2 linked regions of the Ovis aries genome follow. The protein of the gene in region 1 interacts with the protein of each later gene in a biochemical or structural test. Links are inferred from orthologs where the notes say so. Each region holds a gene or a part of one and is shown on either strand. Other genes may lie near its edges.

Evidence for each region.
Region 2: the proteins of RNF11 (region 1) and ZFYVE9 form a complex in vitro, tested with the Homo sapiens proteins (2 studies listed by BioGRID). The link is inferred for Ovis aries from reciprocal best matches to the Homo sapiens genes RNF11 and ZFYVE9.

Annotation. Positions count from the first base shown.
Region 1 is NC_056054.1:25,679,691-25,691,167, forward strand, and holds the start of RNF11 (RING finger protein 11), read left to right. Parts: upstream 1-6,016; 5' UTR 6,017-6,504; coding exon 6,505-6,627; intron 6,628-11,477. UniProt on the Homo sapiens protein: Essential component of a ubiquitin-editing protein complex, comprising also TNFAIP3, ITCH and TAX1BP1, that ensures the transient nature of inflammatory signaling pathways. Promotes the association of TNFAIP3 to RIPK1 after TNF stimulation.
Region 2 is NC_056054.1:26,591,487-26,602,963, forward strand, and holds the start of ZFYVE9 (zinc finger FYVE domain-containing protein 9), read left to right. Parts: upstream 1-5,078; 5' UTR 5,079-5,189; intron 5,190-11,477. UniProt on the Homo sapiens protein: Early endosomal protein that functions to recruit SMAD2/SMAD3 to intracellular membranes and to the TGF-beta receptor.

The sequences.
Region 1 (11,477 bases):
TTTCTTGAAGAGATCTCTAGTCTTTTGCACTCTATTGTTTTCCTCTATTTCTTTGCACTGATCGCTGAGGAAGGCTTTCTTATCTCTCCTTGCTATTCTTTGGAACTTTGCATTCAAATGGGTATATCTTTCCTTTTCTCCTTTGTTTTTTTGCTTCTCTTCTTTTCACAGCTGTTTGTAAGGCCTGCCCAGACAGCCATTTTGCTTTTTGCATTTCTTTTTCTTGGGGATGGTCTTGATCCCTGTCTCCTGTACAATGTCACTAAGTATTTATCAAAATACTTAGATACATATCTAATAGAATATATACAAGATCTATATGAGAAAAACTATGAAATTCTGAATAATGAAATCTAAGTAAAAAGAGAGATAGATATCCACATTCATGGATAAGAAGACTCAATATTGTCCAGATGTCAGTTCTTCTAAAGTTGATCTGTAGATTCAGTGAATCCCAAATTCCAGCAAGTTATTTTGAGGTTATCAGCAAACTGATTCTAAAATTTTTATGAAGCAGCAAAAGACCCCTTTTTTAAAAAAAAAAAATGGGCAAAACGCCTCACCAGTTAAAATATACAGATGGCAAATAACCACATGAAAGGAAAATTTCAGGGAAATGGGAATTAAACAATGAGATACTACTACATACCTATTAAAATGGCCAAAACCCAAACCCAAACACTGTCAACACCAAGAACTGGTGAGGATATGGAACAATAGGAATACTCCTTCTTTGCTGGTGGTACAGCCACTTTGGAAGACAGTTTGGTAGTGTCTTACAAACTGAACATACTTTTACCATATAATCCAGCAATTGTGCTCCTTGATATAAGCCAAATTACTTGAAAACAAGTTCACATAAAAACCTGCAAACATATTGTTTGAGGGAATGTAAAATGGTACAACTACTGTGGAAAAGCAGTCTGAGTTACTCAAAAAATTAAATATAGAATTACCATATGATCCAGCAATTTCAGTCTTGGTGTATAATCAAATAATTAAAATGAGGGTCTTGAAAAGATATTTGTACATCCATGTTCATAGCAGGATCATAGCAGCTAAAATGTGAAAACAATCCAATTGTCCATCAATGAATGAATGGATAAGCAAAATGCGATACATACATACAATGTAATATTATTCAGCTTTAAAAAGGAAGGACATTCTACAATATGCTATACCAGGATGAACCTTGAAGACATTATGCTAAGTGAAATAACCCAGTCACAAAGTACAAATGCTGTGTAATTATACTTACATAAAATACTTACAGCGGTCAAAATCAGAGACAGAAAGTAGGATGGTGGTTGTCAGTAGCTGAGGGAAGGGGAAAAAGAAGAATTATTGTTTAATGGATAGTTGGAGACTTCCCTGGTGGCTCAGGTGGTAAACAGTCTGTCTACAACGCGGGAGACCTGGGTTCGATCCCTGGGTCAGGAAGTTCCCTGGAGCAGGAAAAGGCAACCCACTCCAGTACTCTTGCCTAGAAAAGCCCATGGACGGAGGAGCCTGGTGTCCATGGGGTCGCAAAGAGTCAGACACAACTGAGCGACTTCACTCACTTTCACTTGGTTTTACAAGATGAAAAGTGTTCTGGAGATGGATGCTGGTGATGGTTGCAAAATATTATGAACATATTTAACATTGAACTTTACACTTAAAATGGTTAAGGTGGTAAATTTTATGTTGTGTATTTTACTACAATAAAAATAGTTGGGAAAAAGATCCCTATACACAGATGTTTATAGTAGATTTATCCAAAATTGCCAAAACTTGGAAGCGACTAAAATGTCCTTCAGTGGATAAATGAATAAATAAACTGTGAGATAGCTAGAGAGTGGAATATTATTCAGTGATAAAAAGAAATCATCAAGGCATGAATAGAAACAGAGGAATCTTAGTTTTCACTTAAGTGAAAGAAGTGTGAAAAGACTACATGCTGTAAGATACTAAATATATGACATTTTGAAAAAAATCAAACCATGGAGACTGCTAAGACATCAGTGGTTGCCAAAGGAGGAATGAATAGGCTGAGTGCAGAAGAGTTTTAGGGCAGCGAAACTATTCTGTATGACATTATAATGGTACGTGCACATAATTATATATTGGTCTAAACCCATAGAATGTACACCACCATGAGTGAACCCTAACATAAACAAGCATTTTGTGTGATAGCTTACCAGTTTAACAAATGTTTGGGACTTCCCTGGTGGTCCAGTGGTTAAGAATCTGCCCACCAATGCAGGGAACATGGATTCAATCCCTGGTCTGGGAAGATTCACATGCTGCAGAGTAACTAAGCCCATGGTCCACAGCTACTCAGCTCATGCACCTAGAGCTTGTGCTGTGTAACAACAGAAGCCACTGCAAGGAGAAGCCCGTGCACCACAACTAGAAAGACCCCACTTGCCACAAGTAGAGAAAGCATACTCACAGCAATGAAGACTCAATGCAACCAAAAATAAACAAATAAGCTGGTCTGGTGCAGGGTGTTGATAATGGGGGAGGCTATGCATGTATGGGGGTAGGGGTATATGGTAAATCTCTGTACCTTCTGCTCAGTTTTTTGATGTGAACCTAAAACTGGTCTAAAGTGTTATTAAAAAAAAAAATCTGGCTCAACAGAAGATACTAGATTTTCATCTCTGTTTCTGCGTTAGATATCCTGGTCAGAGAAAACAAGAATCAGACAAAGCAATGAAGGCATATTTTATTCAGTACCTGTTGCAATAGGAGACAAGAGACTCAGTATAGAATTAGACTTCACTCTATATTATATAAAAAGGACAAGTGGGAATTTATGGGCAAGGAACAGGGTGGGGGACAGTGGATGGAAAATTACAAAGAGGAAACATCAGGGATAAAAGAAAATTCTGGCTAAAAACATTGATAGGATTTCTGCTAAAGGCAGGCCAAGGTGGTCAGATACAAAGGGAGAGGGACTCTGGCTAAGCTAATTCAACTATATTCTTGCTAAACTGAAATAAATAGGTCAAGCACAAAGCCCAAAGTTAGAGCCTTGAGGGCTTAGAGGAGCCTGACTAGAGCTGGGTCTAGAAGAGTCTTTGTCACTTCAATAGTGTTGGTTATTTTTTTATTTAAAATTGTTTTGTAATTAGATCACCCTTTCTGGTATACAGGACACTTCCCAAATGTTCCCTCCTAAAACTAGATTAGGAAGAAAGATCATTGAATAGCTACTTCGTTACAAAAGTACACATGGATGCTAAAGGCATTGAAGATAAGTCTTCTCCCATTCTCTTGTTTTTATACACTGAGAAAAGACTATCAGAACGAAAAATGACGTAGTTCCCTCTCCCAACCTAATAGAGGCAACTGGTATATAATTTAAATACTGGCTTTACCCCCTGGGTAGCCATGTGAAGCCATATTTCTATTCCTGTAAAACAGGAATGTTAACATCAACCTTTCAAGACTCAGGCTAATAAATGGAAGTTATGGTTTCATTCATTCTTACATATATATTCAGATATACACACATCTGTGTATATACATAGAAATTATGTTAAACTATACACATAAATAGATACATAGAATATAATATAGTAATGGATCCCATTTATTTTATATTTTTACATATATTTCAACTAAATGAAATCAAGGGCAGCTATATGAAGAAAGTAGCATCTAAGGACGATCTTAAAAGATAGTTGGATTTCAACAAAAGGGAACAGCATGGCAAGGGATCAGAAATGGAAAAGCATAGTGAAAATTGAGGGCATGGTAAGTATTATGATGTGGCTGGAGTATAGGATGCCTGGTTGGAGTCAAGAGTCATATAGGCGGGATGGGGAAGGAGGTGGGAGGAAGTTTCAAGAGGGAGGTGACTTATGTATACCTATGGCTGATTCATGTTGATGTTTGGCAGAAACCAACACAATTCTATAAAGCAATTATCCTTCAATTAAAAAATAAATTTAAAATTTAAAAAGTCATAGTGGAGATCAGGATGGGACCAAATGGTTCAAGGCCTTAATGTCATGCTAAATTTCTGAACCACAAGTCTATGAACGCTCTCTGATCACATTCTTCATGACAGTAGTGTGGAGAATGTATAGATGGTGCAGAAGCAAGGGCTTCATTAAGAAGTTGTCACAACAGTTCAGAGGGGACCAGGGAAATAGCAATAAGAGAAAAGAAGAAAATACCTGAAAATTTCCTTCCAAATGATCCAATAATTTTATTTGTCCAAGCCACAGCATTAAGCAATGATTCTTGGGGATGTGTGAAAGATTCTGATAACAAACATGGCATTACAGATACACCTATTCAGGTGGGAGCCATTAACAGGAAGAAAGGTAAGTCTTGGAAAAGAGGGAAAATAGCACAATGGTTACATTTAATGTGTGATATGAGTGTATTCAAATAAAATATGTGATTTTGCAGAACAAGGACTTCAAAGTTACAGCATTTAGGACATGTCATTTTAACACAGTTCTACTTCCAAGAATCCTTTCTGATCCTCACCCAATGCTCTAAGTACTCCCTACTGTGCCCTCTAGAGGAGAAGGCAATGGCACCCTACTCCAGTACTCTTGCCTGGAAAATCCCAGGGACAAAGGAGCCTGGAGGGCTGCCGTCTATGGGGTCGCACAGAGTCGGACAAAACTGACGCGACTTAGCAGCAGCAGCAGCAGCAGTGCCCTCTAGAAACCTGTCCTGGGGGTGGCAGGAGACCTCACTGTTTACATATCTTCCTAGGTGGATTCTGGGCTCCATCAAGAATAAGCCAGATTTCCTTAGTGCCTAATATAGAGTCTAGTGGGGAAAAAAAAAAAAAAAGTAAATGAAGAATGAAAAAAAGACAGTCAAGACCCTCTTTTCCCCTCGTTGAATGAATATTAGAGCATTCTCATCTTTCTTATTTCCTCCCTCTACATACATTGCCTCTTGAACTCTTTGTTATTTCGGTTAAGAAGAAAGGCTATTCTGCCTCAGGCAATGTGCCAGGTCTTTGTACAGAGGAGGGGCAGATTCAGCTTGATCTGGCTGTGATAGAGACTCACAGGGACTCAGGAACTGAGTGCTCAGGGACTATGAGCACAGAGGAGGTAACTAACCCAGACAGGAGGGTTAGAGGACAGGCTTCCCAGTGGAATCAAAGTTGAGTCCAAGAAGGACAAGTGTGGATATAGTTTGATGGAAGGTATAAGCTCAGGAGTGGGGAGAAGTGAGTTTATGTCAGAGAAACATCATAGGTAAAGACCTCAGCCAGAGGGAATAGTCTTCTAGATAACTGAAAACTATTCAGACATCCTAAAGATTAGAATATGTGAGGGAACAAGGCCACAAATGAGACTGGGGAGGTAGCCAGATTTGTAAACCATTTAAGAATTAATACTTCAGTCATAACAGTATTGGGAAGTTTTTAATGAATGTTTTAAAAGGCTTAAATTCCTCCTACAGGAATGACCTGATCAGATTTACATTTTAAAAAGATAACTGTACAAATAGTAAATTGAATGGGGGCAATGGCGAACGCAGGGGAAATAGTTCAAAGTATTACAGCAGAGAAATGACGGTAGCTTGTACTATGGTGGTAAGAATAGAAATAAATAGAATAATCGGTTGAAGAATTCTTCTGACTGTGATGTAGGAGGATTGCAAAGTGACTGGGGAGGTAGTGAGTTTGGACTTTATTCTGAAGGGATAGAATATTTTAATATTTTAGTCATGGGAGTAATCCATTCAGATATGGGTTTTAAAATGGATTACTTGGCAGAAGGTGGCCAGAAGACTGTCAAAACAACGCACAGTTAAGAGCTGAGACAAGCGAAGAGGGAGCAGAGCGCGTGGGGAGGAACCGAAGACCCAAAAGAGGTATCGGAATCGCGTCCCAGGCTGTCAGAGAAGCAGAAACTGACGCAGCCCCAGAAACAGCTGCTGGGGACGGGGGAGGGGCAGGGGGGTGGCAAAGGAGCAGGGAGCACAGCCGGAGCTACCCACGCCTCCCAGCGCCGGGGGCGGGACCAGGGCACGCACGGCGGCGTGACGCAGGGCCGCAGCTGGCCTCGTTCTGGCCGCCGCCGCCGCTGCGAAGCGGAGTAGGATGAGGCCCGCGGCTGCGGCTCCGGCGTCGGCGGGGCCAGCAGTAGCAGCTGAGGCAGCAGCTGAGGGAGCCGCGACGGCTGCGCCCCCCCACTCCTGACCTGGATTAGGCCCAGCAGCTCCGTGGCCGCCGCCGCCCCGCGGGGGGGCGGGGTGGGGAAGTGCTTCGTCTCCCCGCCCCCCCCCCCCACTGCCGCCGCCTCAGGAGGCAACCGCCGCGACCCCGGGAAACCCGCGGCCCAGCCTTAAGCCCCCAGCCCCAGGGACTGGCATGAGCTGCCCTTCGGCGGCGCCGGGGGCCGGGGGAGCCGCTGCCGCCTGAACCCCGGCCTGCCGCCCGACCCCACCTCGCTGACCGAGGCTGACCGCGGAGCGTGCGAACGACCCCGCCACTGCTTTCTTCCTCCCCCAGATCACACACCCCAGCTCCAGAAGATGGGGAACTGCCTCAAGTCCCCCACTTCGGATGACATCTCCCTGCTTCACGAGTCTCAGTCCGACCGGGCCAGCTTTGGCGAGGGGACGGAGCCGGATCAGGAGCCGCCGCCGCCATATCAGGTAGGGGAGGGTGTGTGTTGGGGAAGGGGGGTGCGAGGAGTAGAGGCGGCTCTGGCGGAGATTGTGGGGGCTTCGGGGCTGTCTGTCACTGTCCCTGGCCTCGGCAACACCCGGCCTGAGAGGCACTGGACCCCCTTAGGGCTGGGTTTAAGTGTGATTGATCCCATCGTCAGTGTAGGGGGAATCCTTCACCTCCCTTCGAGCAGTGTGGGGATACTTCTGTCCTTGAGTTCTGGGATTCGAGTGTGTGACTATATCCCCTTGGCCAGTGACTGGTGGCTAGATTGTGGAGTTCGGAAGTGATATTTTCATGCCTTTATATGTGCATTGTGAGGTTCGAAGGTGATTTCCTCATCACCGGCTGGATTATGGGTTCTGGATAAGTGGTTAACCTCCCCCCACTACCCCACCCCACCACACATACATCCCATTTATACTTTAAAGTGTGATCCTCCTCTCCTCCCTCTCGTCTGTCTGTATTCATTGAATTTAGTAGGCGTTCATTTCTTCCTGTGCTTGGGAGATTTTCAAGTAGTGATTTTGGTTCCAGCAACATGGAGTTGCTTCTTTACATATATATGTATACATATTTATGTGTGTGTGTGTGTTTATACTAATTGTAGGAGTCAGCTTAGCGACTGAACAGCAACAACAGTATTAATTCTGAACCCCTCCTCTTTTTGCTCCACCCCTGTGACACACCTTTTAAACGCGCTGATTTAGAGAACTTGATTATCTTGAACTTTGGAAACCTTTAAACCTTACTTGAGAAATACCTTCTGTTACTCATGGTTTCTCCGTGTGTATCAAAGACTTGTCTTCTAAATGACTTCACTGCTTTTTGTGCAGCAGTCAGCAGCTCCAGATGTCTTTACACGATTTGTAAAGAGCTGAAGCCCTCTTTAGAAAACTCAAAATAGATAGGTAGATGTTATAATCCATAATATATATATAAACCTTTCCTCTACTATTTCAAGATGTTGATTAAAAACTTTACCAGAAGGACTTGGATAGTTAAGTGGCTTAATTTTTTTTCCTGATTGGGGTTTAATTTTCTAACTGGGCAGTCTCCTTTGTTGTTTCATGTGGTGACATCATTATCTAGTGTTATTCTTTTCTCATTCCTATGTTAATCAGTGTCTCACCACACCAGAAAAACCTGATCACAAATGCTGGTTTTCTGAATAAAACCCATCAGGGGCCTTTCATATATGCTGGTAAAGTCCAGTCTTTTCATGTGGCTTACAGAAGACTCCATGATTTATCCCTCACATTCATATTCCAGGCCTGTCAAACACAACAGCTTATTCACACCTCTCTGCCTTAGTTCCAATTGCTCTCTCTGGAACCCTTCCCCCAAGGTCAGCAGGTGAGCGTGTAATCCTCTTTGAGGACTCAGCTGAGCTGTATCTGAAGTTCCTAAATTCCCCTCCCTTTCGCCCTGAATCAATCACTCCCTTCTTTGTGTCTCCCCTGAAGGAAGTGTCTGCACTTTCAAAAGCAACGCATATAACACTTATATGTTGTCCTTGTTAAGTTAGATGTGTGTCTCATTCTTGAGGCATTTCCCTCCTTCTCCAGTATAAGCTGAATGCAGGTAGGAACTCTGTTTCCTGTTTGTTGTATCCTCAACATCTGGCTTCATAGTAGTTGCTCAGTAACTGGAATAAGGGAAAACTCTAAGCCCTTGAGAACAGGGACTACCCGCCAGTGCTTAGTGCAGTTTCTGGCTCATGAACACTTAAATGTTGAGTGAATTAATGAATTTAAATGGAGTATTGTTATGTAAGTTTACACACCCATTTCTTCCAAAGAATTGTCACAGGAGAAGTCTCTTTAAAAATCCAAACCAAATCTAAGTGCTTTCCTGAGTCTTTGAAGCAAGTAAATTGTTTCACTCTTACTTTCCTTCAAATTTCACTCTTGATTTCCTTCATAAATGTTTATAGGACAATGTGCTTATTTCCATTTCATGAAAAAAATTTTTTAGAGGTACGAGTTTTTATTTCAGAATCTCCTATATTCCTTAGTCCTCTTATAAGCAAGTAAAATACCTTCAACTTATTGTACTCTTTCTCTTAAATACATGTATATCTTATACATTGTTAAGAATAACTTCTTTAGAATTTATGGAGATTGTATTCAATATTTGCCTTTTCCAGGAGGATAAGATAATAAAGAGAGGGTTTTTTTGGTATCAGGTAGAAAGGTCTTTTTGAAATGTTTGTGACAATGGGAGTTTTTCGTGGTTTCCTTTTCCTGAAATGAACAACCCAGATACTGATAGGCAACTTTGGTATCAATTTGAAGAAAGTAATTTCTTCAAAGATAAAAGTATAAAAAGAGAAACTTTTGTAAAAATTTGTCTTACCTGAAGGAACTGAAATGTTTTAGGAATGTAAAATATGTGTTAGGAATGTAAAATTCAGATTGTCTGAGAAACACCAATCCAAGATAAATAATTTATACTTTTAATGAACAGAAGTAACTTATTTTTTCTTCAAAAATAGTATATAATTGACAGCTATAGAAATACTGGCTTATTTCTTTAAAGAATAGTTTCAGCTACAAAAGGATGTTTTAAAAATTCAGAGAATAACTGATTGTAAAGGAACGCATTTGGTATTCTGCAGTGAGTAGTTAAAAGATGTGTGTACATATATATGCCAAGAGCTCTATAATAAACTTCAATAAGATCCAATTATTTCCTATTAGCAGGATCTGAGATTTGTTTTATCTATTTATGCTTGAAAGTAAGCATAAATAAACTGTGGTCAAGTTTATGGAAAATACATATTTCTCTCCTGGGTTTCTTTTGTAGCCTCCTCACTGGTCTCACTCCTTTCACCCTTGCTCTCCCTTTAATCTATATTTAATCTGTCATCCAGATTGTTTCTGGTAAAATAGATCATGACACTCTACCAAACTTTCTGTGAATCCTCATTTCATTCAAAGTAAAATCCAGATTCCTTAGTGTCCCATAAACCCTACATGATCTGTACTCTCTGCCCGCATACGTAGCTCTCTTTATCCTTGCTGCTACTCTACCCGTGCTGGCTTCTCTTTAACCTCTCTGGCCTCTTTGTTCTAGGATACACCAGAACTTTTGCCCTTGTTGATTCTGTGCCTTGAGTACTTTTCCCCCAGGTATCATCATGGCTGACTCCTTTCCTTTCAAGTTTTTACTCAAATTGTGTCACCTTCTTAAATCCTCTCTGACCACCCTATTTAAAATTGCATTTACCTTAGCTCTCTGCTAAGCTTACCTTGTTCTGTTATTTTCCCATAGCATTTATCATTTTCTAACATTATTTATTATTATCTGTTTCTCCTGCTGGTGGTAAACTCCATGAAGAAAAGGGAGTGTTAAAAAAAATTGTGGTTTCCCAAGTGCCTAGAATAGTGCCGGGACATAACAGGCACTCAGTTACTGGTTGAAGACTGGATTTCCTTTAAATGAATTAATATATTTATTTTGAGGCAAATGCAATTGAATGTCTTATAAAAATTATGCATATTCCTAGTGCCTTTTTCCTTTATTGTGGGTCATTTTTAAGAAATCAATCCTAAAAATCTAATCCCAATAATACTAAATATAGTAACTGGTTTAAAATAATCATTGATAAAATAGTGTAATTTTTTTCAACCCTTTGTAATCTTAACAAAATGTTTATGAGAAAGAATGTGAATTCTTGTCCTTAAAGAAATCTGAGATAAGAGGTTAGAGCTGTTCTTGAATTAGAAGATTAAAAACAAGAAATTTGACATACCATCTACTCTTTAAGGAAGGAATTTTTAAAAAGAATACAAAGGAAATCTACCCATCAAGGACAGTCTTAGAAGGGTTGTTAGAAGGAAGATAAGTCATGAAAGGCTGAGGAAAGGGCCAGGTAAGATAGCCCAGCCTTGGAAGGTGTAAGTGAACTAATTGAAAAACCACTAGTCACTCAAAGACCCCCATTCCTCTGCAAAAAAGCTCTTTACAGTATTTTTATCTGAATAGGTATATATTTGCACAAAATGGTATCTCTCAGTTTTGCATCAGTTGTATGTTCAGTAGTTTGAGATTTACTGATCTCTTCTGTCCTGCACTTTGTGATTAATACATATGAGATTTTGAAATCAGAAGAAAAATTATAATACAGCACTGAGTGCAGTTGTAGCTCTGGTTTTGGAGTCAGATGGGTCTGAGTACATATCCTGGTTGTTACTTATATGTAGACTATGAAGAGGGTTTATCAGATTATGTTACGTCTTGAGGAGCTTCTTTCACAAATAACAAACATAACATTTTGGATATTTCAAACTGACTGAAAGTTGTTTTTTTAAGGCGTGGTCTCTCCTTTACTCTCTCTCGTTTAAAAATCTAGACTAAGAAAATACTTATTTTTAAGCTTTCGAACCTGTAATAAATAATACCTTGTTTTTTTGATATCTTTATGAAGTTCAGGTAATTGAGGTTTTGAGGGTTTTTTTGTGTGTTATTTTTAATGTACTAGTATTTTGTTTACCATTTTGCTGAAAACTACCTCAATGTATCTCACATATCTTACTCTTAATAAACAAATTATTTAACATATCTTACTCTTACTAATCGAATTGTTTGTGAGATTTTATCCCTCCCCTCTTAAAGTTCTACCTTTTCATTGAGGTGCAGATCAACTACAACCTCTTTAATAAAGCTTCCACTTTCATTTTTCCCTCTCTTGATTTCTTCCAGTACAGTACTTTTTCCGTGTAATATTTATCTGGAAATCATATATTACCTTATTAATTAGTTCTTGATGCTTTAACATTTATTATTTTTCCAGATCACAATTTTCTTAAAAGTGAGAATGATGTGTTCAGAT
Region 2 (11,477 bases), about 910 kb from region 1:
GACTGAGGCTGAAGCTAAAGCTCTAATAGTTTGGCCGCCTAATGCAAAGAACTGACTCATTTGAAAAGACCCTGATGCTCGGCAAGAGTGAAGGTAGGAGCAGAAGGAGAGAGCAGAGGATAAGATGGTTGGATGGTATCAGCGACTCGATGGACATGAGTTTGAGCAAGCTCCGGGAGTTGGTGATGGACAGGGAAGCCTGGCGTGCTAGAGTCCATGGGGTTGCAAAGAATCAGACATGACTGAGCAACTGAACTGAACTGATCCTAATGGTTGTGAAGTGATATCTCATTATGATTTTGATTTGCATTTCCCTGGCAACTAATGACTTGAGCATCTTTTCATGTGCTTATTGGCCATTTCTGTGTCTGCTTTGGAGAAATGTCTTGTCAAATTCTTTGCTGGTTTTTAATTGGGTTATTTGTTTATTTTTTGGCTGTAAGAATTAAAAAAAATAACATACGTGTCTTTATATATTCTGTAAGTCTATTATCACATATGATTTACAAGTATTTTCTCCCATTTTGTGGGTTGTCTTTTTTACTTTCATGATGATATCCTTTGAGGCAGAAAAGTTTTTAAATTTTGATGAAGATTAATTAATGTAGCTTTTTCTTTTGCTACCTGTTCTCTTGGTGTCATATCTAAGAAATCATTGCTGAATCCAAGGTCCTAAAGAGTTGCTTTTGTGTTTCTTTTGAGAGTTTTAGCTCTTAGGGTTTGTCATAGAGGACATTTATCAGGTTGAGTAAGTTCTCTTATAGCTTAAGTTTGTTGGGTGTTCTGGTAAGATTCAGTTCAGTTCAGTCGCTCAGTCGTGTCCAACTGTTTGCAACCCCATGAAATGCAGCACGCCAGGCCTCCCTGTCCATAACTAACTCCCGGAGTTCACTCAAACTCATTTCCATCAAGTCGGTGATGGCATCCAGCCATCTCATCCTCTGTCCTCCCCTTCTCCTCCTGCCTTCAGTCTTAACCAGCATCAGGGTCTTTTCCAATGAGTCAGTTCTTCACATCAGGTGGCCAAAGTATTGGAGTTTCAGCTTCAGCATCAGTCCTTCCAATGAATATTCGGGACTCATTTCCTTTAGGATGGACTGGATGGATCTCCTTGCAGTCCAAGGGACTCTCAAGAGTCTTCTCTAACACTACAGTTCAAAAGCATCAATTCTTTGGCACTCAGCTTACTTTATAGTCCAACTCATACATGACTACTGGAAAAACCATAGCTTTGAATAGATGGACCTTTGTTGGCAAAGTAATGTCTCTGCTTTTTAATGTGCTGTCTAGGTTAGTCATAACTTTCCTTCCAAAGAGCAAGCGTTTTTTAATTTCATGGCTCCAGTCACCATCTGCAGTGATCTTGGAGCCCAGAAAAATAAAATCTGACACTGTTTCCATTGTTTCCCCATCAGTTTGCCATGAAGTCATGGGCCCAGATGCCATAATCTTATTTTCTTAATGTTGAGTTTTAAGCCAACTTTTTCACTCTCCTCTTTCACTTTCATCAAGAGGCTCTTTAGTTCTTCTTTGCTTTCTGCCATAAGGGTGGTGTTATCTGCATTTCTGAGGTTATTGCTATTTCTCCCAACAAACTTTATTCCAACTTGTGCTTCATCCAGTCCAGCATTTCTCATGTTTACTCTGCATATAAGTTTAATAAGCAGGGTGACAATATACAGCTTTGATGTACTCCTTTCCCGATTTTGAAGCAGTCTTTTGTTCCATGTCCAGTTCTAACTGTTGCTTCTTGACCTGCATACAGATTTCTCAGGAGGCAGGTAAGGTGGTCTGGTAGTCCCATCTCTTTAAGAATTTTCCATAGTTTGTTGTGATCCACAGAGTCAGAGGCTTTGGTGTAGTTAGTAAAGCAGAAGTAGATGTTTTTCTGGAACTCTCTTGCTGTTTCAGTGATCCAGTGGATATTGGCAATTTGATCTCTGTTTCCTCTACCTTTTCTAAACCCAGCTTGAATATCTGGAAGTTCATGGTTCACGTACTGTTGAAGCCTGGCTTGGAGAATTTTGAGCATTACTTTGCTAGTGCATGAGATGAGTACAATTGTGGGGTAGTTTGAGCATTCTTTGGCGTTGCCTTTCTTTGGGATTGGAATGAAAACTGACCTTTTCCAATCCTGTGGCCACTGCTGAGTCTTGCAAATTTGCTGTCATTTTGATTGTAGCACTTTCATAGCATCATCTTTTAGGATTTGAAATAGTTCAACTGGAGTTCCATCACCTCCACTAGCTTTGTAGTGATGCTTCCAAAGGCCCACTTGACTTCACATTCCAGGATGTCTGGCTCTAGGTGAGTGATCACACCGTCGTGGCTATCTGGGTCATAAAGATCTTTTTTGTATAGTTCTTCTGTGTATTCTTGCCACCTTTTCTTAATATCTTCTGCTTCTGTTTAGGTCCATACTATTTCTGCCCTTTATTGTGCCCATCTTTGCATGAAATGTTCCCTTGCTATCTCTGATTTTCTTGAAGAGATCTCTAGTCTTTCCCATTCAATTATTTTCCTCTATTTCTTTGCACTGATCATGGAGGAAGGCTTTCTCATCTCTCCTTGCTGTTCTTGGGAACTCTGCATTCAAATGGGTATGTTTTTCCTTTTCTCCTTTGCCTTTAGTTTCTTACGTTATGTTTTGAATTCACCAATAGAATGAGCCCCTGGGAAGCCCCAGGCATCCCGTCTTCCCTTTGTTTGCCTGGACTGCCAGACTGGAGTTCCAGTTTTGTAACTCCTACGGTTGCTACACTGGCAACAAATCAGTAGAGAGAGGCAAGTATTGGTTTGAAAATGTGTGATTGCTTTATTCAGGAGGTTGACAGCCGGGGGAGAAGGCGAACTCTAAAACCAACTCTGAAGATCCTGCTCAGCCATTAAAGATTTTAAAGGGAGAATCATTTGGGGAGGGGGTCAGAGCCTTTATTATCTTCTACCGTGTACAGACTTACCTCTGATTGGTTGGTGATGAGGTAACAGAGTGGTGTTCCAGGAGTCTTGTGTTTAGTGTGAAGTTGCCACCCTCCACCTGTGTGGGGGCTTTAGTTCCTACAGAAGAACTCGAAGGCATTGTTATATATATGTTCCTTGAGGAGGAACCAGGACTGCGCCACGGCTGTACTATCGCTTCCTGACTGCTCCTTTTCCTTCTGCCCTTCCTTCCCGATAAGCAACTGTTTGAATCTGCCCTTTGGAACTCAGGGAAGACCAGGGAGGCTGAATGAAACCTCTTTCCTGCAAACAAGAGATGGGAGACACAGAAAAGATTTGTATCCTGGAGGGCCCCACAGGGTCATGCTCTGTTTCATAATCTTTATTATTTCCTTCCTTCTGCTTGCTTTGGGTTTAGTTTGCCTCCTGCCCCCCTCCTTGTTTTATTTTTAGTTTCTAAAGGTAGAAAGTTACTATTTGTAATTTTACTTTTTTTAAAAAAAAGTAGATGTTTAAAATAGTATAAAATTTCCTCTAAGCATTGCTTTCAGTGTATCCCATAACTTTTGGTATGTTGTATTTGGTTTCTTAAAGTATTTTCATTTCACCTGAAAGTATTTTGTAATATTCCTTGTGATTTATAATTTGACATGTTTGTTTAGTGTGTTGCTTAGTTTTCATATAGTTTTGAATTTCAAAGGAAATTCTACTTTCATTCCATTGTGGTCAGAAAGCATACTTTGTATGATTTCATTCCTTCTTAATGTATTGAGGCTTGTTTTATGGCTTAACCTGGTCTCTCCTAATCATGTGCACTTGGGAAGAATGTATATCCTGCTGTTGTTGGATGGAGTGTTTGTAGAGGTCTTTAGGTCTAATTGGCATACAGCGTTCATGTTTTCTTTTTCTTTACTAATCTTCTCCCTACTCCACAATTGAAAGTGGGGTAGTGAAACATACAACTCTTATTATTGAATTGTCTGTTTCTTACTTCAGTTCTGTCAGTTTATGCTTCATGTATTTTGGCGCTCTGTTGTGAGGTGCCCTAGCTTTAATTCTGCTGCATAATGTGAATTGGATGCTATGTATGTGGACACTTTTGGTAACTCAGTAAACATTATTCCCATTTTATGTACTGTGACCAATAAATGGAATTTGTTTTGATGTGGCTTTGATGCTTAAATGGTTTTGACTAGTAGTAAGTTATTTTGTCTTGGTTTCCCAGGTGGTGCAGTGGTAAAAATTACGCCTGCCAGTGTAGGGGACACAAGAGACGGGTTTGATCCCTGGGTTGGGAAGATCCCTTGGAGAAGGAAATGGCAACCCACTCCAGTATTCTTGCCTGGAAGATTCCATGGGCGGAGGAGCCTGGTGGACTACAGTCCATAGGGTCACAGAATCGGACATGGCTGAGCACCAGAGGTTATTTTGTCTAGGTTACATAAAGATGCACTTGTGTCTGAGAAGACTTAACTTTACTACGGCAGTGGTTCATTTTAAGGGTTTATGTATATGTGAGTCTGAGTGAACTGAAGCAGTTTAAACATGGCAGAGATAAAGTATTTAATAATGACTTTGCCAGTACTGATTTTTTTTTCCTAAACTTTTTATTTAAGTATAGCTGATTTATAGTGTTAAGGTTAGTTCTAGGTATACGGCATAGTGATGCAGTTTCAAAATGTGTGTGTATGTGTATATATATATATATTTGTTTTTCAGATTCTCTCCATTATGGGTTATTATAAGATAGTAAATTTATTTCTCTGTTGTATATAGTAGGTTCTTTTTATCTGTTTTATATATTGCAGTGTATATCTGTTAATCTCAAGCTTCTAATTTATCCTTCCTGCTCCTTACCCTTTTGGTAACCATAAGTTTGTTTTCTATGTCTGTGAGTCTATTTCTGTTTTATAAATAAATTAACTTGTATCATTTTTTGATTCCATATATGTGATTTCATGTGATATTTATCTTTCTCTGTCTGATTAGCCAGTATTAATTTTTAGTGAGAATAGAGGGCAGATGATAGTGTAATGTTCCTGACTATCTCTAGAATAATTTGAGTCAGTACCCATTATTATTAAACTACTAAGAGTATCTACTTTTTATACAACCAGGTCCTAAAGTATATCTGGCTTTGGAGGAAGAAGGAAATAGAAAAGTATCCTTGATGTTACATCTTTTGACATAAGTGGTATCAAATGAGCAAATTGAAACCCAGAGCTTTATTAACTTGATGAAGGTCACTGGTAGGTGCTCTTTTCATTTTCTATTCTCTTAGTCTTTCCTTCAACAAATATGCCAGGCTGTGGAGATGCAGCTATGACCCAGTCAGACATGAATGATCCTTGCTCTTATGAATTGTCTGGTGGGATTCTTTTAGTGTAGTCTTTGAGTCCTATTTCATATAGTAGTGACATAGAATTGTAGAATACTTTATAAAATATTTCTGCATTTTAATCTAATTTTATAACTCTTATTGCAGTCTTGTGACCCAGGTGGGTTAGATATAGTATTGCTGTTATTCCCATTTGAAAACTTAAGGAAACTGAGACTTAGGGATATTTAGGTGATGTAGTAAATGGCTGAGTTAATATGCAGACCCAGATCGTCTGGCTCCAGGGATCCTGCACTTCTTCCATTATGCCATTGTCTCACTGTTTCACATGAGACTACAAGCCTAGATCACCAAGAGTGATATTCCGGAAAATAATCAGCCTCACAGCATTTAGCAAAGCAGAGAGCTCTGTCAGGCAGGGCATGTGGGACGAGGAATCAGGAGACCCAAACGACTGTGTCTAGTGCGCTGGTCTGGACTTATTTCTAAATAACGCATTGAGAAGGAATAATTTGGAGGGAAACTAAAGCTTGAGACACATTGCACGGACGTGGTCTCAGCAGCACCTACGTGGGCTCACAGCATAGTAACTGCCAGGGACATTTTTTTTTTCCTAGAACAAAGACTTGAAACAGATGGTGAATTCAAGAAGTGACCTAAACAACACCAGAGTCCTAAACAACAGCTCCATACAGAGCTTCTACAGCTGCAAATCAGAGTCTAATCTTTATATGAGGAAGGGATTGTTTGTTTTTCATTGATTACCTCAGCTGCTATCACACAGGTTCAGAGATAGCAGTCTCTTCAGTAAAAACAATTGAGTACTTCCTCTGTGTAAAAACACTGTTAGGTATTGTGGGAGTGATACCAACATAGGTATGATGCCATCCTTGCCCACAAGGAGCTTGTAACCTAGTAAGGAGATTTTGCATTCATTCAAACAATATGTGTTTATCCAGAGTCCATTATGTGTCAGGCCCTGTACCACATGTTAAGGAAACAAGAGTAGATAAGATAGAAACCATCCCTTTGCCTTTAGCTTTTACTTTCCATTGCCTGAAGAGTATTCCTTACCTTCTTCCCCTGAATCTAAGCACTCAGAAATCTTTTTAGAGAGCAGAACATGAAATTCTCTTAGCAGGACAGTAGTCAGCACTGCTATTCTTGTAACTTGGCCACAAATAGAACCCCACAGTTGTGGGTCAGAGCTTAGGCATCATGCTATGAAATATTTGCATCTCATCTAGTGTCACATTAAGAAGAGTGCAAAACATCCTGATAGAAGAAACGGATAAGAGATCTGAACAGATCACAGAATAGAAAGTAAAAAAGATAAAATGTATGTCAGTCTTATCGATAATCAGAGAAATGGTGATTAAATAGTAAAATGATATTTTCACCTCTCTCATTGGCAAGAAAGTTGGTTAGAGCAAATTTAAGTAATAATTACAAGACAACTTTATTGAATACTTTCTCTGTGGCAGGCACAACAGTCTTTACAATAATCCTAGTGAGGTGGGTACTATTATTATTATTGTTTTATTGTTAAGGTACTTGAGGCACAAGGATAGAGAAACTTGTCCAAGGTCAGACATTCAGTACTTACTAAGCCCAAATTTGAATTCAGGCAACCTATATCTAGAGCCTGTACTCTTTTTTTTTTAAAATTTATTTTAATTGGAGGATAATTGTTTTACAATGTTGTATTGGCTTCTGCTGTACAACAGTGTGAATCAGCCATAAATATACATTTGAGCCCTCCCTCTTTCTAGAGCCTGAATTCTTAATCACCAAAGTGGTGCCTTTGTCTGAATTGGTTACCATTATGCTGTATGCTCAGCCTAAAAAAGGTCTTAACTATTTGTTGAATGAATTCTTAAAATGAAAATGTATTAGGCATATCATTTTTAGGGTAGTTTATGAATAGCGAAGAAGACACATACTAATAACTCAATAATCCTATTTCTTAATATGTATCTTAAAAAAAACATGTGTGTAAGGAGGCACTTACATGGCAGCATTCTTGGTACTTGTTGAAAAATAGAAAATGTAAATGCTCATCAGTACTGTAAATAACTACTAACATAACTAATGTATCAGTTCAGTTCAGTCGCTCAGTCGTGTCCGACTCCTTGCGACCCCGTGAATCGCAGCACGCCAGGCCTCCCTGTCCATCACCAACTCCCGGAGTTCACTAAGACTCACGTCCATCGAGTCGGTGATGCCATCCAGCCATCTCATCCTCTGTCGTCCCCTTCTCCTCCTGCCCCAAATCCCTCCCAGCATCAGAGTCTTTTCCAATGAGTCAACTCTTCGCATGAGGTGGCCAAAGTACTGGAGCCTCAGCTTTAGCATCATTCCTTGCAAAGAAATCCCAGGGCTGATCTCCTTCAGAATGGACTGGTTGGATCTCCTTGCAGTCCATGGGGCTCTCAAGAGTCTTCTCCAACACCACAGTTCAAAAGCATCAATTCTTCGGCACTCAGCCTTGTTCACTAATGTATAGCTCTATATAATTATTAAACATTTAAATAAGCTATGATATAGGAATATTTAAAAATTCTATATGCATAGATAAATAAATGAAGTATGATGTGGAAAGTTATATAGGATTTATTTTGGAATGAGAAAAGCAAGTTACAGAACTTTTACTGCCAAAATAGATTCTAGACAATGAAAGAGTGAAACAAAAATAGCCATGAAAATAGCAGGGAAAACATATGTTAACATTTTTATAATATTGGAATGAGAAAGGCTTTTCTAAGCATGATGTGAAATGTAAAAACCATAAAGGAAACTGATGAATTTGATTACAAAAAAATGGATGACTTCCAAGTAGAAAAAAAAGAATAAGCATTAAACTGGAATAGAGATCCTAATAAAGTGGATGAACAAGAGCCTATTATACAGAGTGAAGTTAGTTATAAAAAAACCAAATATCATATATTAATGCATCTAGAAATATGGAACTGATGAACCTGTCTGCAGGGCAATATTGGAGATGCAGACAGAGAACAGACTTGTAGACACAGTGAGGGAAGAAGAGGGGGGATGAACTGACACAATAGCATTGAAATATATACATTACCATGTGTAAAACTAGAAAGCCTGTAGAAATTTGCTGTGTGACATAGGAAGCTCAAATCTGGTGCTCTGTGACAACCTCTAGGGGTGAGATGGGGTAGGAGGTGTAATGGAGGTTCAAGAAGGAGAGGACATATGTATACTTATGGCTGATTTGTATTGCTATATAGCAGAAACCAATGCAATATTGTAAAGCAGTTATCCTCCAATTAAAGATAAATTTAAATAAAAACAACTCCAAACATTGTGTGTGTGTCTGTGTGTATATATTGGAGAAGGCAATGGCAACCCACTCCAGTACTCTTGCCTGGAAAATCCCAAGGATGGAGGAGCCTGGTGGCTTAATATATATATGTGTGTGTGTGTGTGTGTGTGTGTGTCTGTGTGTGTGTGTGTGTCTGTGTGTCTGTGTGTGTCTGTGTGTGTGTGTGTGTAGGCTTCCCTGGTGGCTCAGATGGTAAGGAATCTACCAGTAATGTGGGAGACCCAGGTTAGGTCCTTGGGTCAGGAAGATCTGGAGGAGGAAATGCCTACCCACTCCTATATTCTTGCCTGGAGAATCCCGTGGATAGAGGAGCCCGCCAGGCCTCTGGGGTTGCGAAAAGTCGGACATGACTGAGTGACTAACCCAACCTATATATATATATGCCTATATGTAGACAAAAAAGCCAATAAGCATATGATAGATAAATAGATGTTCAGCTTTTACTCATAATTAAAAATACAAGTTAGAAGGATGTCCCTGGTAGTCCAGTTGTTGAGAGTCTGCTTTCTCTGGTCTGGGAGGATTCCACATGCCACAGGGCAACTGAGCCTGTAAGCTGCAGCTGCTGAAACCCACATCCCTAGAGCCTGTGCTCTGCAACAAGAAAAGCCATCACAGCAAGAACCCTATACTCGCACACTAGAGAAAGCCCACAGGTAGCAAAAAAGACCCAGTGCAGCCAGAAATAAAAAATTAATAAAAAATACTAAGTGAGATATCAGGTTCCATTGCTTCTACTGTGAAATTGGTAAAGATGGGTAATAATAATGATGAACTTATAGAAAGAATTTTACACAGAAATAGAAATAAGCACAGCATGTTTGGAAATTTTGGCAACATTTATTAAAATTCAGTCTGTGTAATACTTTTGTCTAAAATTCCACTTGTAGGGATTTATTGCATATTGAGGTGTAAATGTATGTGTACAAAGATATTCATTATATTGTATATAGTTATAAAAATATGAAGACAATCTAGATGTATGTTGAAAGGGATGAGAGTTAAATTGTAATACATGTAATGGAGTGCTGTTCAGCTGTTTTAAGACTGTGGCAAACCCAGGTGTATACACATGCCCCATTTTACACTGCTTTGTATAGTGCTGATTGATTCTAATGCTACATTAAATAACCTTTGTGTGAATATAACAGTAGGCATGTGTATATTTTAAAAGTCCATTATAGTTACCCATTGATGTATATCTCTTTTTCCTTGCTCTGCTCTCATTACTATCACCTGTATTGGGAGCATTAAGTAATTCAGACATACTATGATCTAGTATTTAGATGTTGTTAAACTAGAGTTTCTTTTATTAGCAAAAAGAATAAGGACAACTTATAGCTCATGAGAGCATTTTTATACTTCAAATACTTCTAAATGCCAAAAAACAAGTGAAAGAGGAATGTTGTTTCCAAATGTATACATAACTAGTGGCTAAGACTCTGAGTTATGAAACCAGGATGCCTGGGTTCAAATCCTGGCTTTGTTACTGTGTATGACTTTGTGCAAGTTATTTAGCTTTTTTTGCCTCCATTTCCTCATTATTCGTCCAACAAATATTTGAGTGCTTTCTGTATGCCAGACACTATTTTGGATGCCAATGATAAAACAAGGAGGATTAAGACAAATTCTCTACCTTCCTGTGGTATGTGTACATTCTGAGGGACTTAATTCTATACCTTAGTATTTAGTGTTCATAAGAGGATTAAGGGTTTAATACCTCTAAATCACTTGTAATAATGTCTGGTACATAGTAAGTGGACAATAAATAATATTACTGTTGTTCTTCCCTCCCAAATAAATAGGTACATGGAATGTAATTTATTAACTATTTTATGAAAATTTTTGTTAAATAAAATAACATTCAAGGATATATAAAACACTATTTCAGTATATCCTTAAATTTTCCATATGCATGTTGCTCACATACATTTTTAGTCACTGAACTCTAGCCTGACAGATGGTGCTGTCCACTACCGGCCACTGAACTTTACCATATACCATATACCTTGTTGCAAAAGCTCTTAGCCCAAGAGTGTTCTCCTACTCTATTTTGAGTGTACTCAATGTTGAAGTGCAAAATTTTCAGTAGTTCTTCTAAGGAGTCTTGATGGAAATGCTACAAAATCAAGAGAGTAAAGATCAAAAAGCTATTAACATTGGTAAATTGAAGGTCATCATAAATATCAATGAAGCCTGGGATGATTAATAATTGTATAGCATCTAGTAGGAGAAATTATATGCTGTATTTATTGTGAATATACAAAATTTCAGCATATAATCTTTTTGTTGTTGTTCAGTGGCTCAGTTGTGTCCGACTTTGCGACTTCATGGACTAACAGCATGCCAGGCTTCCCTGTCCTTCCCTGTCTCCTGGATCTTGCTCAAACTCATGTCCTTTGAGTTGGTGGTGCCATCCAGCCATCTCATCCTCAGTCGTCCCCTTCTCCTCCTACCCTTCAGTCTTTCACAGCATCAGGGTCTTTTCTGAGTTGGCTCTTGGCATCAGGTGGCCAAAGTATTGGAGCTTCAGCTTCAGCATCAGTCCTTCCAGTAGGTATTCAGGGTTGATTTCCTTTAGGATTGACTGGTTTGATCTCCTTGCAGTCTAAGGGACTCTCAATAGTCTTCTCGACACTATAGTTCAAGAGCATGGATTCTTTGGCACTCAGCCTTCTTTATGATCCAATTCTCACATCCATACAAGACTACTGGAAAAACTGTAGGTTTGACTATATGGACCTTTGTTGGCAAAGTAATGCCTCTGCATTTTAATATGCTGTCTAGGTTTGTCATTGCTTTTCTTCCAAGGAGCAAGCGTCTTTTAATTTCATGGCTGCAGTCACCATT